Notamacropus eugenii: one gene and its partner. The protein of the gene in region 2 interacts with the protein of the main gene of each other region in a biochemical or structural test. Links are inferred from orthologs where the notes say so. Each region holds a gene or a part of one and is shown on either strand. Other genes may lie near its edges.

What was found. The genes of interacting proteins can lie anywhere in the genome.
Region 1: of the proteins of MTOR (region 2) and MAF1, one has a biochemical effect on the other in vitro, tested with the Homo sapiens proteins (2 studies listed by BioGRID and IntAct). The link is inferred for Notamacropus eugenii from reciprocal best matches to the Homo sapiens genes MTOR and MAF1.

Annotation. Positions count from the first base shown.
Region 1 is NC_092875.1:86,027,643-86,034,901, reverse strand, and holds the start of MAF1 (repressor of RNA polymerase III transcription MAF1 homolog), read right to left. Parts: upstream 3,068-7,259; 5' UTR 2,748-3,067; intron 1,523-2,747; 5' UTR 1,462-1,522; coding exon 1,379-1,461; intron 676-1,378; exon of another isoform or gene 635-675; intron 1-634. UniProt on the Homo sapiens protein: Plays a role in the repression of RNA polymerase III-mediated transcription in response to changing nutritional, environmental and cellular stress conditions to balance the production of highly abundant tRNAs, 5S rRNA, and other small non-coding RNAs with cell growth and maintenance.
Region 2 is NC_092876.1:50,533,749-50,541,453, reverse strand, and holds the start of MTOR (serine/threonine-protein kinase mTOR), read left to right. Parts: upstream 1-4,677; 5' UTR 4,678-4,780; intron 4,781-7,705. Other genes in the region: UBIAD1 (ubiA prenyltransferase domain-containing protein 1), read right to left, coding at 1,419-1,953. UniProt on the Homo sapiens protein: Serine/threonine protein kinase which is a central regulator of cellular metabolism, growth and survival in response to hormones, growth factors, nutrients, energy and stress signals.

The DNA of each region.
Region 1 (7,259 bases), on a different chromosome or scaffold from region 2:
CCTCCTTTAAACTCAAGTGTCTTTGAAGTTATGTCTTTATTTCCCAAGTCCTTCATGCTCTAGTCCTATTCAAAATTACCTTATATTTACTAGTTTAGGCACATGTTGTATTCTCCCTGTAGAATAGAGACCCTGATGGAAAGGATATTTTGATCTTGTCTTTGAATTCCAAGCTATAGCAGAGCACACAGTAGGGCTTGACAAATGTTGGGTAATTAAATTACCTACTTTACGTCTTCCCCCAGACCTAGCATAGAGTTCTGCAGAAAAGCAAGGTCTTAATAAATATGCGATGAATTGAATTTCTGCTTTGTGGGTCTCAGCTGTTCCAGTTATAAAATGTGGGGAGGTGAAGGGAGAGAAAGGAAGGAAAGGGGAAAGGAGGGGAGAGGAGGGGAAGGAAGGAGAGAGGAAGAAAAGAGAGGGTGAGGAGGGGAACTTAATGGTCTCCAAGGTACCTTTCTAATACTTAACATTCTGTGAGTTGATGCAGGTGAGGAATCTGAAATGGACCTGAACACACTCCAGGGAACAGAAAATGGGGACAAACAGTAATGGAGAAAAGGTTATAAGCCTGGATACAAACATGGGGGTTAGATACAAGTAAAAGATAGGAAACTGGATGGACACATACACAGGGGATGGATGGCAGATATATTTGTTGGGAGGCAGTACCTAAAACAGAGAGGAAGAAGAGGACAAGGATTAGGGTTATGAGGGATCATAGGATCATAGATCGAGCTGGAAGAGATGTTAAAGGCCACCTAATACAATGCCCTCATTTTATGGAGGAGGACACTGAGACCTAGAGTAGTATTACCCATTATCAAAAACTAGATTTGAACCCTCCTGATTCTAGGACTGACACTCTACTACACCAGAGGTGTCAAACACATGGCAGCAGCCTGAAACACTTCCAAATGCAATCCAAACCAGATTAAAGTGTAACTGGGAAATATTTAACAAAATAAAAATAAACTAAAGGAGAGACAATATTACATTTTAAAACTAAGTCAACAAGTGGCTCCTACAGAGCCTTACAAACAGATTAATAGCCCCTGCTTCTATTTGCTTTGACACCACTCCCCTCCACTATGTGTCCAGCCTAACTGCATTCTAGGGTCAATTCTTACAGAACCTCCAATCCTTCCACATATTTTGGGAAGTCAAGAACACCTGGCCTTAGAAACAAGATGTAAAGGCTGCAGTGAGTGAAATGGTGGGGAAGGGGGGTAAAAGAGAGGAAGGAAATGGGAGGGTGGAGTCACTAACCACACTGCCTTCCCCTTACCTTCACAGGGGAAGAAACCTCAGGGCCCTTCTCAAATTAAGTGCCTCTCCTTAGGGCAGAGAGACCTTGAGGGGCTGAGGGCCTCACCTGCCAATGATGTGAGCATCACCAGTCTCCACTGTTAGCTGGGAGTTGATCGCTTCAAAACTGGAGTTTTCTAAGAGCTTCATCTTCTGCAGGGGCCAGGGACAGGGAAGTCAAGAGCCTTGGTTTAGGGCAGCAAAGAAGTGCCTGTTGGGAACACGGGGAATGTCACTGTGGCTCTGAGTTGTTTAGTTTGAGAGAGGGGTAGGGAAGGTCATTGTTAAAATTTCACAACCACCTCCTCCTACCATGGCAAGGCCTCAGGTCCCAGAAAAAAAACGGATCTTGTGTGTCTTATCTCCAATCCCAGCCAGGCCTGGGTATCTCCCCAGTCTTTCACTTTCCCTTCCCCATACACACAAGCTGCCTGCCTTGTAAGTGGAGAAACTGTAAACAAGCAGAGACCTGGCCCTGGCCCAGAGCTAGTGGAGAGAACAGCAGGCAGGGGGACCAAGTGCCAACCTGAGGCAAACATACCTCCTTTCCCACATCTAAACCCTAAGACACCAGAACTCCAGTCCCTCCCCTGCTGGAGGGCTCTGGTATCAGGGAGGGAAAGAGATCCCCTTACCCAAGAGGAAAGAGGAGATGTAGGGCTCAGGTCCAGTTTAGGGTGTCTCCTTCTCTCCCAAGCAATGACCTGAGGTTTCACCATGATTTCCAAGCACTTACAAACCCCTCTGACAGTCACTCTTCCCTCCCCTTAGTGTAAATATATGTGTGTGTGTGTGTGTGTATATAAAATACATGTATGTATATATGTATACATATACATATATATGTAAAAGTCAGTATACATGTATATTTGTGTGTGTATATGTGTGTGTGTGTGTATAAATGTTAGCGTACATATGTATGTGTGTGAATGTGTGTGTGGATAGGTCTTATCTATCGCCCCAGGGGCTGCTCAGCCTGGAGAGGACGGGGGAGCGGGCAGTGTAGGAAGCTGTCCAGGAACCTCTGGAGGCTCAGCAGAAGGGCCCCCGGGGAGGAGAGAGGAAGGGAAATCCAAAGCCAAACCCGAGGGAGTCGGTCACCAACCAATCCAAGACGCCTCCATTCCCTCCCTCCCTCCACCCCCAATGAACAAGGCCGAGTCTCCTTTACCTGGATTGGTATGCCAGGTTGCTTAAAGCACTTAGAGATCTCCACAGAAGGAAGGGGCGGCTCCATACACTAGCACCTAATGGAATCTGAGCCTCCCCAGAGTCCGCTCCCAGCTCACCCCTCCCAGAACCCAGGTCAAACCCCGCCCCCCAGGAACTACAACTCCCAGGAGGCAGTGCGGCGCTGGAAGGCGAAAAGGGAGGGTGCGGGGACTGCTGGGAGCTGTAGTCTAAGAGACAGACACCAAGGCGTCGGCGACACCAACCTGGCTGGGGGCGTCCGTCTGCGGGGCACCAGGAAATCCAGGGGTCCGAGAGGCTCCTCAGTCCCTGGGGGCTACGACGCTGCGGCCTCCGTGCGGGCCGCGCTGTATCCGAGGAAAACTTCGCAGCGACAGCCTTCTCCTCTGGGTCCCGCCCGCCTGCGCGGGCGACCTCCGCGACATGGCCCCACCGCCGACCTGGCTCCGGCTGCCTTCAGGGCCCGACTACGGCAACACAAGTAGAGACAGACACACAGAGGAAGCCGCCTCCGCCTCCCTCACCCCGAGAACAACAAGCGCCCGCTAGGCCCGGCCCCGCCCCCACTACGGATTCCGCCTTGATGATTGGGCTCTTCTTCCCCGCCCTGGGCTAACCAACCTGTTCCCATTGGTCTAGGTGTCCTCCGCTCATCACGTCCTTCATAGCTATTGGCTACCATTTCCGCTCGTCATTTTTTACAGCCTATTCGCCCGCCCCAATGATTGGTCTAGTGTGTAGGGGAGCTCCCATATTGGTGTAGTTCCCCTCTAGCGTCTTCAGACCCCGCCTTATTTCTCATTGGTGAAGCCGCTTGCCATTCTTGTGTCCCCTGTTCCGCCTCCCTCCCCCTCCTTCTCTGTGTGCTTTAAGTACAGACTCCTCTCAGGGGATTGGGAGGGACTGGAAAGAGGCGGGGACGGGGAGGGGTGAAGTGGATCGCGCCTGCGGGTTGGGACCTCGGAGACAAAGAATACGCGCGGGGGAGGGGGTGGGGACAGAACTCCCATTGGCTGCCGCTGATGTTAGACTCTCCAGCTTCTCTCGTACGCTGACTTTCAGAAAGCTCTCTTGAAGTCGGCCCCCTGGAGCTGGGAGCTCGTGTCCTGCAACCTCATCCCTCCCAGTGCCACCCTGTGACCTCCACCTCCATGTGGAGGTCATTCAGACCTCTCATCTCCTGCCCCCAAACCCCAACCCTGAATCATCCCCATCATTGATCGTTCCTATTTCTCCGCTGCTGAACTGAGCTGGAGGAAGTTCCTCGCCTGTAAAAATGACGGGCTTGGACCACATGGCCTCTAAGGTGCCTTCTCCTTCTAAACGTATTGCCCTGTGATTGTACTGTGTCACCCAAACTGACGTCCTCTGCAGATTTGTTAGCTGATCTCCACTCGAGCCTCTGCAGCTGCAAGTTAATCCATCTTTGCGCTCTTCCCCAATGGATTCTCCATCACGCTCCTCGCAGCAGCTGTTCCAAAACTTTCCTCTGAAGTGTCCCACACACGTCTCTCTTCCGTCTGTCTGCAAATAACCTTGCCGCAGACTTTACTAAAGATTTGGTGGATTTGATTACCATCTCTGTGCTGATTATTCTCAAATCTACCTTTTCTGACAGTCTCTCTTCTGATCTCCAATCTCACTTCTCCACCGGCCTTTCAGACGTATTGAACTGGCTGTCCAGTAGACATCTTAAACTCAGCATGTTCAAAATGGAACTCATTATCTTTCTTCCTAACCACTCCACTCCTCCTTCCCCCTTCCTCAGTACTGCTGTGGAGGGCAACACCATCCTCCCAGTCCCTCAGGCTCACAACCTTGCAGTCATCCTGGATTCCTCACTTTCTCTCAAGCCCCATATTCTGTCAATTTCACCTTTGCAACATCTGTCTCCTCTGATACAGCCACCACCGTGGTACAAGCCCTTGTCACCTCCACTGTTCAGTTTTGTCTGACTCTTCATGACCACATTTGGAGTGTTCTTGGGAAAGGTACTAGAGTGGTTTGCCATTTCCTTCTCCAGTTCATTTTACAGATGAAGAAACTGAGGCAAGCAGGGTTAAGTGACTTGCCCAGGCTCACATGGCTACTAAGTGTCTGAGCCCAGATTTGAACTCATGAAGATGAATCTTCCTAACTCCAGGACTGACCCTCTATCCACAACACCACTTAGCTGCCCCCATCACTTCAAGCCTGGATTATTTCAATAGCCTGCTGGTGGGTAGGCCTGCCTACCCCAATCTATCGTCCACTCCACCACTAAAGTGATTTCCTAAAGCACAGTTCTGACCTTGTCTCCCCTTTCTATTTAACAATCTCCAGGGCTCTCTGTTGCCTCCAGAATCAAACACAAAGTGCTCTATTTGGTGTTCAAATTCCTCATAACCTCGTCTTTGCCTACCTTTCCAGTCTTCGTACTCCCGGAAATATACTGTTCAGCCCAGTGAAACTGGCCTCCTGTCTGTTCTACAAACAAAACACTCCATCTGTTGATGCCAAACATTTTTTCTGGCTGTCCCTTATGCCTGGAACATTCTCTCTCCTCTCTGACTACCAACTTCCTTTAAGGCTCAGCTAAAATCTCAACTTCTACTAGAAGTCTTTCCCACCCCTCTTAATTCTAATGCCTTCCCTCTGTTAATTTTTTAAAATTTGTCCTGTATATAGATTGGTTTACATACATTTTTTTGTATGTTCTCTCTTGAGGGCAGGGACTTTCTTTTGCCTCTTTTTGTAACCCCAGTGCTCAGTAAATGTTTGTTGTTGTTTGTCTTTTTTTTGTGTCCTCCCTTTTGTGTGAATCAGGTTTAAGTGAGGCAGAGTTGCACAAAGTCATCAGCCTCACTCTCTCTTCCAAAATCATAGAAATCCAGTTGCAAGACAAAAGCCAAGAAGACTGGGATGGCCCAGGAGGAAGTGGATGACCTTGGCATCTTTGACGTCCAACCAAGCTCCAAGTATTCCACAGCAATTACTTCAGCTGCCTTCACGGATATTGGAATAAATTGTTATCATTCACTTATTCTGCCCCACAGAAGTCTTCATATGCCTAGGGTACAAATTTACTGAGGGGTTTGAGGCCTGTTGGTCACCCTCTGCCAGATGGTTTTACCAGGATGTAGTCATTGTGCATTCTATACCTTCTTGGAGCTACAGGTGAGAGTTGAATGCCAGGTGGACACCAAAGGTGGATGAGCAGCCCTGAAAAGGGCTCAGCAAGCCCTCACACCAGAGGTGCTAATTCTTCTTGATTGACTGATTGACTAAGAAAATAGAAATTTGCAGTGAGTTCTTTCCCTCTCCTTCTCTACATTGCAAAACCCCTTATCATCTTCCCGCATTCTCCCCTCCTTTACTCCAATTCTGATTCTAAGGTAGTCTTTCTTCTCACTGAAGCCCAAGAGTCCAAAAACCTAGATCTAAGTCCCTAACTTGCCACTAGTTGGTTTTGTGACCTTGAGCAAGTCACCATCTCTTTCTTGGCCTCAGTTTCTCCATCTGCAAAATGAGTGTGTTCTGTTCCATTCTGGTGAGAGCATTCTGCAGGATCATCCTTATATTTAGATATATGGTCCTGTCCTGAATTCAGAAATTACAAGCAACTACCTATTGCATAATAAAGAAAATTCAAACCCCTTAACCTCTGCTAACTCCTGTTATCTATTTTTGATTTATCATTATTTTTCCCTGGGGTATAGTGTTATTACTGCTAATGAAGATGATAATGATTCTGAGAAAGATAAACTGGAGAGGGGCGGGGCCAAGATGGCAGAGTAGAAAGACACACATATGCTAGCTCTCCCCCCACAGCCTATAAAATACCTGTAAAGAAAGACTCTCAACAAATTCTAGAGCAGCGGAAGTCACAGAAGAACAGAATGGAGGAGATTTCCAGCCCAGGGTGACCAGGGAAATGTCAGTTGAACAGGATGTGGAGTGGAGCCCAGCCCAACCTTCAGGGGCAAAATCTCCACTTGCAGTAGCAGCGGTTGGCAGATCCCTCAACCCACAGGTGCCAAAGGTTAGTGATGGGCTTTTTTCAGCTGTCCAAGAAGGGAGAAGGGCCTTTCCATAGCTCTGGCCTCAGGATGCAGCCTCAGAGGCCGCATCCAGGCAGGTGACTGCACTTTCCACAGTAGCCCCTACGGTAGCCCAAATCCATCGTTGGATGGTAAAACCCCTGGGGGCACTGAGCAGCTGATTCTTACTGCAGCCCTGTGTAGAGGCCCTGGGGCAGCTGATCTTTATCTCACACTGAATGGCAGCCCTGCCCCCGCAGCTTATCTGAATCTCAGCCCCCAGTGCTGGCTTGGCAGAACTGGAGGCCAGATGGTTGTGAAGAGGAAACCCTGCTAAGTTTCTGGGCACAAAAATCTATCCCTACTCCCAAACCAGTGTGCCCGCTTGATTGTGCCACCTTGGAGGAACTGAGATCTTACAGATCCTCAGAGTATACCCTTGACAAAGGACCCAAAAGTCAAGTGACTGGTTGGGAAAATGCCTAAAAAAGGGGAAAAAATAAGACTATAGAAGGTTACTTTTTTGGTGAACAGATATCTCCTCTCATCCTTTCAGATGAGGAAGAACAGTGCTTACTATCAGGGAAAGACATAAAAGTCAAAGCTTCTGTATCCCAAACATCTAAAATAAATATTCAATGGGCTCAGGCCATGGAAGAACTCAAAAAGAATTTTGAAAATCAATTAAGAGAGGTGGAGGAAAAATTGGGAAGAGAAATGAGAGAGATGCAAGAAAAG
Region 2 (7,705 bases):
TGAACAAGATTCTCCAACAAATGGCAGCTCAGCATCTGCCTACAGACATCTCACTCCTCCCCAAGGCAGCTCATCCACCCTTCAAGTTATTCTGCCTACTGCCAGAAGTTCTTCTGAAGGACAGACCAAAGTTAAATCCAAGCTCTCTCCAGAAGACTTGAAGATGGTCATCCTAACCCTTTCCTAAGCCTTGTCTCCTGGAAGCTAAAACAGCCCCAGTTCCTGCACTGCAGACTGGTGTGGAGACCAGTTGGTGTGCCATCTTGACCATCTTCAAATGGAGAATCTCCAGTTCCTTCCTTCTCCACCCCACCCAAACATCTCTGGAAGCCCCCTCCCCCACTCAAAAGGTCACTCCCTACTTCAGGGCCTCATCCTGGACAATCACAACATTCTCCTAATGGACCCCTCTGCTTCTATCTAATCTGTTCTCTAGAGCTGCCAAAATCATCTTCCTAAGGCACAGAAAGGCCAGCTCCCCTAAGGCCTTAGTAAACTGCTTAGGATTTAAGGTCCCCTATGAACAAGCAGACTTTCCAGAGTGATTTCACATAACTTAAGCTGGCTGTCCCACCACCCCACAACACATATCCTTCCATTCCAACCTAAGTGACCCTCTGGCTATTCCTCAAACTCCATTGTCACCTGCTTGCTTCTGGGCATTTGAAGAAGCCTCAGATGGGGAGCGTTTCACTTTTGTCTCTCCATCGCCAGAGCATGGCCCATAATAGGCACATACATAACTGCTGAACTGAACTGAAAATCAAAGCCAGTTCCCCTCATTAAAACAACAATCCCTAGAAATGATGACCAAAGGGAGAACAGCTTCTGGGGCCAGAGTCAGACTCCTAGAATGGTGGTTGGATGACTTTCTAAACTGACCTGGAGGTTAGGAAACAACATTAAGAACCCTAGTGAGCAGGAGGAGTCCCTTTAAGGGATGTCCACATAAGAGAAAAGAAAATGGTCCCAGTGGTGTGGAAGGTGGCAGCTACCCCTCCAAATCACTAACTGCTGTCAGGAGGCTTAGGCATACTCTGATCCAAGCTCCTCACTTTACACAAAGGAAACCTCTGGACTGTGTTAAAGAAATGACTGACCCAAGGTCCCCAGCACATAGGAATGGGTGCCAAGGCCAGCCTGGGGATGGGCAGTGACTGGTCTGAGATATCAAGCCCTCTCTAGGGAGCACGGGTAAGCTAGATTCCCGGTGATTTCTAGGGAGCTGAGTAGGGCCAAGGCAACCCCGAACCTCCTGGGGAGCACAGCCAGGCCTGCTCCAGAGCACCCTGGGGAGCACAGCCAGGCCCAGACCCCCTGGGGAGCACAGCCAGGCCTGCTCCAGAGCACCCTGGGGAGCACAGCCAGACCTGGCCTCTCAGACCCCCTGGGGAACACCAGGCCGGCCAGGGTCTCACCTCCGGTGTAGAGGAAGGAGCTGGACAGGCCCCCAAAGAAGATGAGCGCCAGGTGCTCGAGCTTGAGCGCCGACAGGCAGTAGAGGCAGGCGGCGCACACGCAGCCCAGCGTGTAGAGGAAGACGCCGAAGCGCACCACGTCCTGCGGCTCCAGGATGCGGTCCACCAGCGTGCGGTCGTCGCTCTTCTTGTGATCGATGCCCTTGGAGAAGTCGTAGTAGGTGTTGACCAGGTTGCCGGCCCCGTGCACGGCCAGCACGGCCACGGCGCTGCCCAGCAGCAGGCCCGGCTGCAGCGCGCCCTGGGAGCGGTAGGCCAGCGCGCTGCCCAGCGCCACGGGGGTCAGCGAGGCGCTGAAGCTCCAGGGCCGCAGCGCCAGCACGTACGAGGCGCACTTGTGGCGCCACGACCGCCGCGGCCCCGGCCCCGGCGCGGCCCCGCACGGGCAGCCATTCCCGGCCTTCTCCCCGGCACCTGCCGGGGGACCCTCGCCCGCCTGGATGTTGATCTCGCCCGGGCTCTGGGCCGCAGCCATGGAGAAGGCGAGGGTGGGCTGCGGGGCGGGGCTAATGGAGCACGTGGAGGGGCCGGGAAGAGCACGAGGAGTGGGCGGGGCTAACCTAGCGGCTGGAGGAGAGCTACAGGGGCAACGGGGGCGGGGCCAGCGGGGAGAGGGATATAGAGGGGGCGGGGCCAGAGGGGAGAGGGTATGGAGGGGGCGGGGCCAACGGGGAGAGGGATACAGAGGGGGCGGGGCCAGCAGGGAGAGGGGTACAGAGGGGCGGGGCCAGCGGGGAAAGGGGTACAGAGGGGGAGGGGCCGGCGGGGAGAGGCGTACAGAGGGGGAGGGGCCAGCGGGGAGAGGTTACCGAGGGGCGGGGCCAGCGGGGAGAGGGGTACCGAGGGGGCGGGGCCAGCAGGGAGAGGGGTACAGAGGGGCGGGTCCCGCTGCCTAGCAGAGCCGGGGGCAGGGAGGGGAGCGGACCTAGAGAAGGGAACGCGAAACCCACTGCTCCCACGAAGCGAGGCGGGGGCTTTTGGAGGGGCTCCCCGCTAGGTAGAGAAGGCTGGAACGTCGCCAAGCGGAAGAAGGGAGCGCCCGGGAAAGGAGGATACGGGAGGCGGGCAGCCGTCCCGCTGGAGGCCTGACCTCCTCTGCCCCACGGATGTCCGGTCTTCCTGTCACTCAGGCTCTGAGTCAGTGGCAGTGCTGGCGCCGGCCCGGATCTTTCAGCCAGTCCTAGGGGGCCGCCATGTTGTGCTCTGGCCTTTGTCGGCCGTGCGGAAACGGGCCCCCTGAGCACTTAGGGCCGGGGAAAGAAGAGCTCGCCTTGTCCCTCTACGCTGGGGGAGCTCTCCATCCCTGCTCCCTAGGACCGTTCATTCAGTTCCAGTGAAGGAACTTGTGTTAAGCTACTGTATGCGAAGCACTGGGAATACAAAAAGGAAAGGCCGCGATACAGTTTAACCTGTGTGACCTTGGTAACCACTGCACGTGTCACAGTGTTTACCGATGCTTCATTCATTCTTGTCAGTTTTTAATATTTGTACCTCCAGGGCCCAGCACAGGTGCTAAAGAAACGTTGCTGTTGTTTTTAAATGAAGACAGTCTCTTTGAGAGGGGAAATCACTTGCCCAGGATCACAGGGATGAAAGTTGAATTTCAGGTCTTTAACTGACCTTTAACTCCAAATCCATTCCTCTTTCCATTGCCTCCCTGAACCCCCAGAAAAAAAGATGGGCTGTCAAAAGAAAGAGTAGAGACCCTGTGGTCCTGTCTGCAGCTGAGTCACAGCCTTTCTGGGTGACCAAAGATGAGATACAATTCTTATCCTGCTTCACATGAATAGATTCCATTCGTCACTGGTTCTTGGTTCCTTTTTCCCCCTTTATTTTTTATGTATGCTTTCATTCAAAATAAGAGGCTTGATGGAATATCTCGAAACTCCTCCCACCTTCATATTCTGTGAAACAATGTGATCAAAAAATCTCTTAATTACTCTGTGCCAGGCACTATGCTAAATTTGTCTATTACAAATGGAAGAGGAGCTGGGGCAGAGAAATCAACAAGAAAACAAGCTTCATTGTATCCAGAAAGTGGTTGATCCCAGATGACCTTGGGAGTAGGAGAGAGGCAAGAGTCTCGATGAGGGGGCATGATTGCATTGGTGGGCTATGATCTGCACTGTTATGGGAAATATCCACATTAATAAGTTCACAGAAGCCAAAGGAAGACCGTGTGATACGCAGATTGTGTAAGGACGGGGATCCAAAGTAAGGGTAAGATCATCAACTTTAATTGGGCTTGATCAGGGAGGATGGGAGAACAGAGCTGTGCCTTTTGAAAAATCAGTACTACTTGGAAACAGTGTAATAACTCATTTATATACTGATTTCACAACCCTGGTGCAAGTCTTTTTATACCCATTCCGCAGATGCAGAGGCTAAGAGGCTAAGTAATGTGTTCCCCGAGTCCTACAAGTGCCAAGTGTCACAATCCAGATTCAAACCCAAGTCCAGCTCACACACACACCCATACCCCCACACAGTTTCCACTACTCCACGCTGCCACTCTAGGCAGAGAGCCAAGAGGGAGCATGAATGGGGAGTGCGTAGGGCAAGCAGCCAGACTCGGGGCAGGGTTTGTCCTGGAAACCAGCACACTTGAGCCCTCGCGCTGGAGTGCGTGACCTCGGGGACCTCGAGGATCTCTGCTGGGGTTTGGTAGGAAGGAAAAGGCCTGGGGCCCCGGGGATCATTTCCCAGGTAAAACTCCTGAATGCGACACGAAGGACGCCTGGGGAGGGGACGGGTCGAGAATGTGTAGCTTCGGCTCAAGTTCACGTGCGGATCCATGCAAAGGTCCATGCTGGGCACTATCACGAGTGGAGGGCGGGGCTCTGACCCAACTCTCCAGCTCTCTCGGCTGAGCCGATACGAGCGAGAACTGCCCGGCGATCGAGGGGGCTCATTTCAACGGAGCACGCACTGGAAGCCGGGTCGGAAGTGGCAAAGACGGCAAACTTGCTGCTGATTGGCCTGTGCCGGTGTTTCTCGGCCCGGTGCTCGCCTGTGACTGGATGTGCGGCTTGTCCATTTGAACGGCCCCCGCCTCCTTGGGGGGCCGAGTTCCAGAGCATCCCTCCTTCCCCTCTGCCATTGGTCGGTCTGCCCGCCCATCTCCTGCTCCGATGTGCCGGTTGGTCCTAGCGGCTCGGTGCCCCGCCCTTCCCCACCCGGCTCGGAGGGCAGCCGGGAGGGAAGGCGGGCGGTGCTGGGGGTGGGGGGTTCCGGAGCGGCGTCGGCGGCGCCTTGGGCAGCTGCACCGGCTGAAGGGAAGGCCGCAAGTAACGCAAGTCACGGTGAGTCTGGAGCCCGCCGCTCGCTTCCCTGGGCCGGGCAGGGGCTGGAACCCGGCCCCCCGCGTTGGAGGGAGGCCGCGGCTCCCCCGGGCGCCCTGGGCCCTGCAGACGTCCCCGGGGCTCGGAGCCGCCCCCAGACCCCGGCTCGGCCCGGCCTCCAGCCTCCGCCTGCGGCGCCTTCCCGGCCCCGGGGCCTCCTGGAAACCCCATCCCACTCTGTGCCCCCGGCCTAGCCAGAGCCTCCCCAGAAGCCCCCTGCCTCGGCGGGGTGCCCCCCGACGGTCACATGCCAGCCACAGCGCCCCTGGGTCCTTAGGGGCCCCCCAGAGTGCCCACCACCACCCTCACGCCCCCAGAAGCAGAGCCCCCTGTTACGCCACCAGAAGCTCCCCTACCTCTCCAGAGTGCCCGGGTGGGAAGCTTCTCCAATTCATCTGAGCTTCCTGGAGGTGCCCCCAGACTCCTCCCCAGAGTTCCCCCCAAAGGCTCCCCGCTTGCCCTGAGCTCAGCAGCCATCCCGTCTCATTCCTGCAGAGACCCGCCTCAACCCCACATGCCGTCAGCAAGACACCCCAGAAGCTCCCTGAAAGTCAGCACAAGACCCCCAGAAATCCCCCCAACACCACCAGTGTCATCCTGCACCCCCTCTAAACCCACTTCACTTCTATGCTGCCTGATTCAGAAGCGCTTGAAATGCCCCCGGATGTCATCACTCACAACTTTTCCTCCACCTTCTTAGACTCCTCAAAGGCTACCTTAATAGTCAGTAGTTACATAAACATTTATTAAGTACCTACTGTGTGCCAAGTGCTATGCCAGGCCCTGAGTATACAAATAGAACAAGAAAGAGGGTCCCTGCCTCCAGGAGTTTATAATCTTATGAGGGAAGACCACACGCAAAGGGAAGCTGAAAATGGGTGGAGGGATGCCCGGTGGGGGGACATGGTGGAGAAGCCCTGAGAAGTGCAGCCAAGTGAGCCATCAGGAGCCCCCTCCTTAAATGAAGATCTTGGCCCCATACTCAGTCCTAGAGGTGCCCCAGGCAAGGTGGAGAGGTCATTTGATTTGGGAGAAGTTCCAGGATAATGCAGCCAGGTGATTAATGAAGAGACTCAAGTCAATCACCTGCTCCTAGAAGATTTCTAGAGACCTTTCTAGACCTGTCACACATAACTTGTACCCGCAACACATATCTTGTACCCGCAGCCCCCCATTTCTGTAGACCACCCTAGGTATTCTTATCCAGCCCCAGCCTTTCCTGACTGTCCAATGACAAATTTGAACTGGATAAGCTCAAGAGGTTCCTTCTACTGCCAGTAAGGCCCAGACCCCTTTCCTGAGGAAGGTTCAGCTGGAGGAGACTTCAAATATTTGAAGGGCTGTGGTCTTGGGCTTCGCCCCTAAGGCAAAACCAGAAGTGGGTGGAAGGTACAGAGGATGACTCTCCACTAAATGTATGGGAAAACTTGCTCCTGAGCCCAGGTCCTAAGAAGGACTTCTATCCCTGGAGGATTTCAGGGGAGGCTGGATGTCTTATTTTCAGGAGCTGAAGTCTCAGCTCAGGCCCTGAGAGTCTATAAACATCATAGGTTATACTTCAGTAACACTTTGTAGAAATGTTTCTAGATTACCCATCTACTATAGAATGCTCAAAAAACAGATCTAAAGTAGGTTCCACCTTCTCAAGGAACCACATCAATTGATCACTTATACTGGAGAGCTGAGGATATTTTGCCTAGAGAAAAACAGACTTACTGTTTGTCACAGAGCAGAAAGATTAAACATGTTTTGTGTGACTTCAGAGTGGAGAGGCTGGGGCAGTGTGTCAATTATTAGCAGGTGAGTTATAGGCTCAGTCATGGTAAGAACTGATCAGAAAGCCGGCTGACCAGGAATTGGGTACTTCCTCAGGATATATCACTGTGAGATAGGTAGTACAAATAAGGATTATCCCCATTTCACAGATAAGAAAAAGTAATGTTCTAGGAGGTAAGTGACCACTTAAAGCCACCCAGCTGTTTTAACAATCAAAGACCTGAAATTTGGATTCTTCTCATTTCAAGTTGTGTTCTTCACCACACACTGTAAAGTAGTGAGTTCTCTGTCACCTGGGAGTATGTAAGCAGAGACTAGGTAACTAAATGTCAAGGATGTTGTACATGGAATTTGTGTTTCTCAGAATTCAGATTGGAAGGTATTATCAAGTCCAACACCCATGCTTGACCAGGAATCCCCTCCATAGCATATGCGATCCAAGAAGCATTTTGAGACAAACGGTCACCTAGCTTGGACTTGAAGACTAGTTATGTTAATTCTCCCTCCCTCCCCCTCCCCCAATTCTTCATGGCCTAGCTCCTCCCTGCCTTTTCAGACTTTATTTCATGTTACTCATATGCAGCCAGACTGGCTTCCTACCTTGTCTCTAGACTCATTCTGTTTCCTTTCACATGCTGTACTAGTATTTAGAATCCACCTCCTCCATACCTGCTCTAGGACTCCTTAGCTTAGTGTCCCTTTCCTCCCCAAATACCTGGTACATATTTACCCCCACCAGAATGTAAACGCCTCAAAAGCAGGAATTGTTTCATTTTTGCCTTCATCTCCCAAATGAACAGCACAGTGCCTTAGGTCGGGTGGGTACTTAACAAGTGTCTTGTTTAAATTGAATTAATAGCCTCTAATGAGAGGGAACCTACTCCCAAGACAGCAACTTAAGTCAGGCCTGCTGCACAGCCTGCAGTCCATGGGCACAGGCCTAGCTTAAGTAAAGGCTGGATGACCTCTGAGGCCCTTTCAGCTCAGAGTCTGCTTTGGTAATATTTATATAGCTTTACAGATAGAATTCTGTCTTCACCCTTCACAGACACCCTTTTCAAGTTCCACCTCTGTCTACTCTAGCTACTTCCCAAGGTCCTGAGCAAGCTC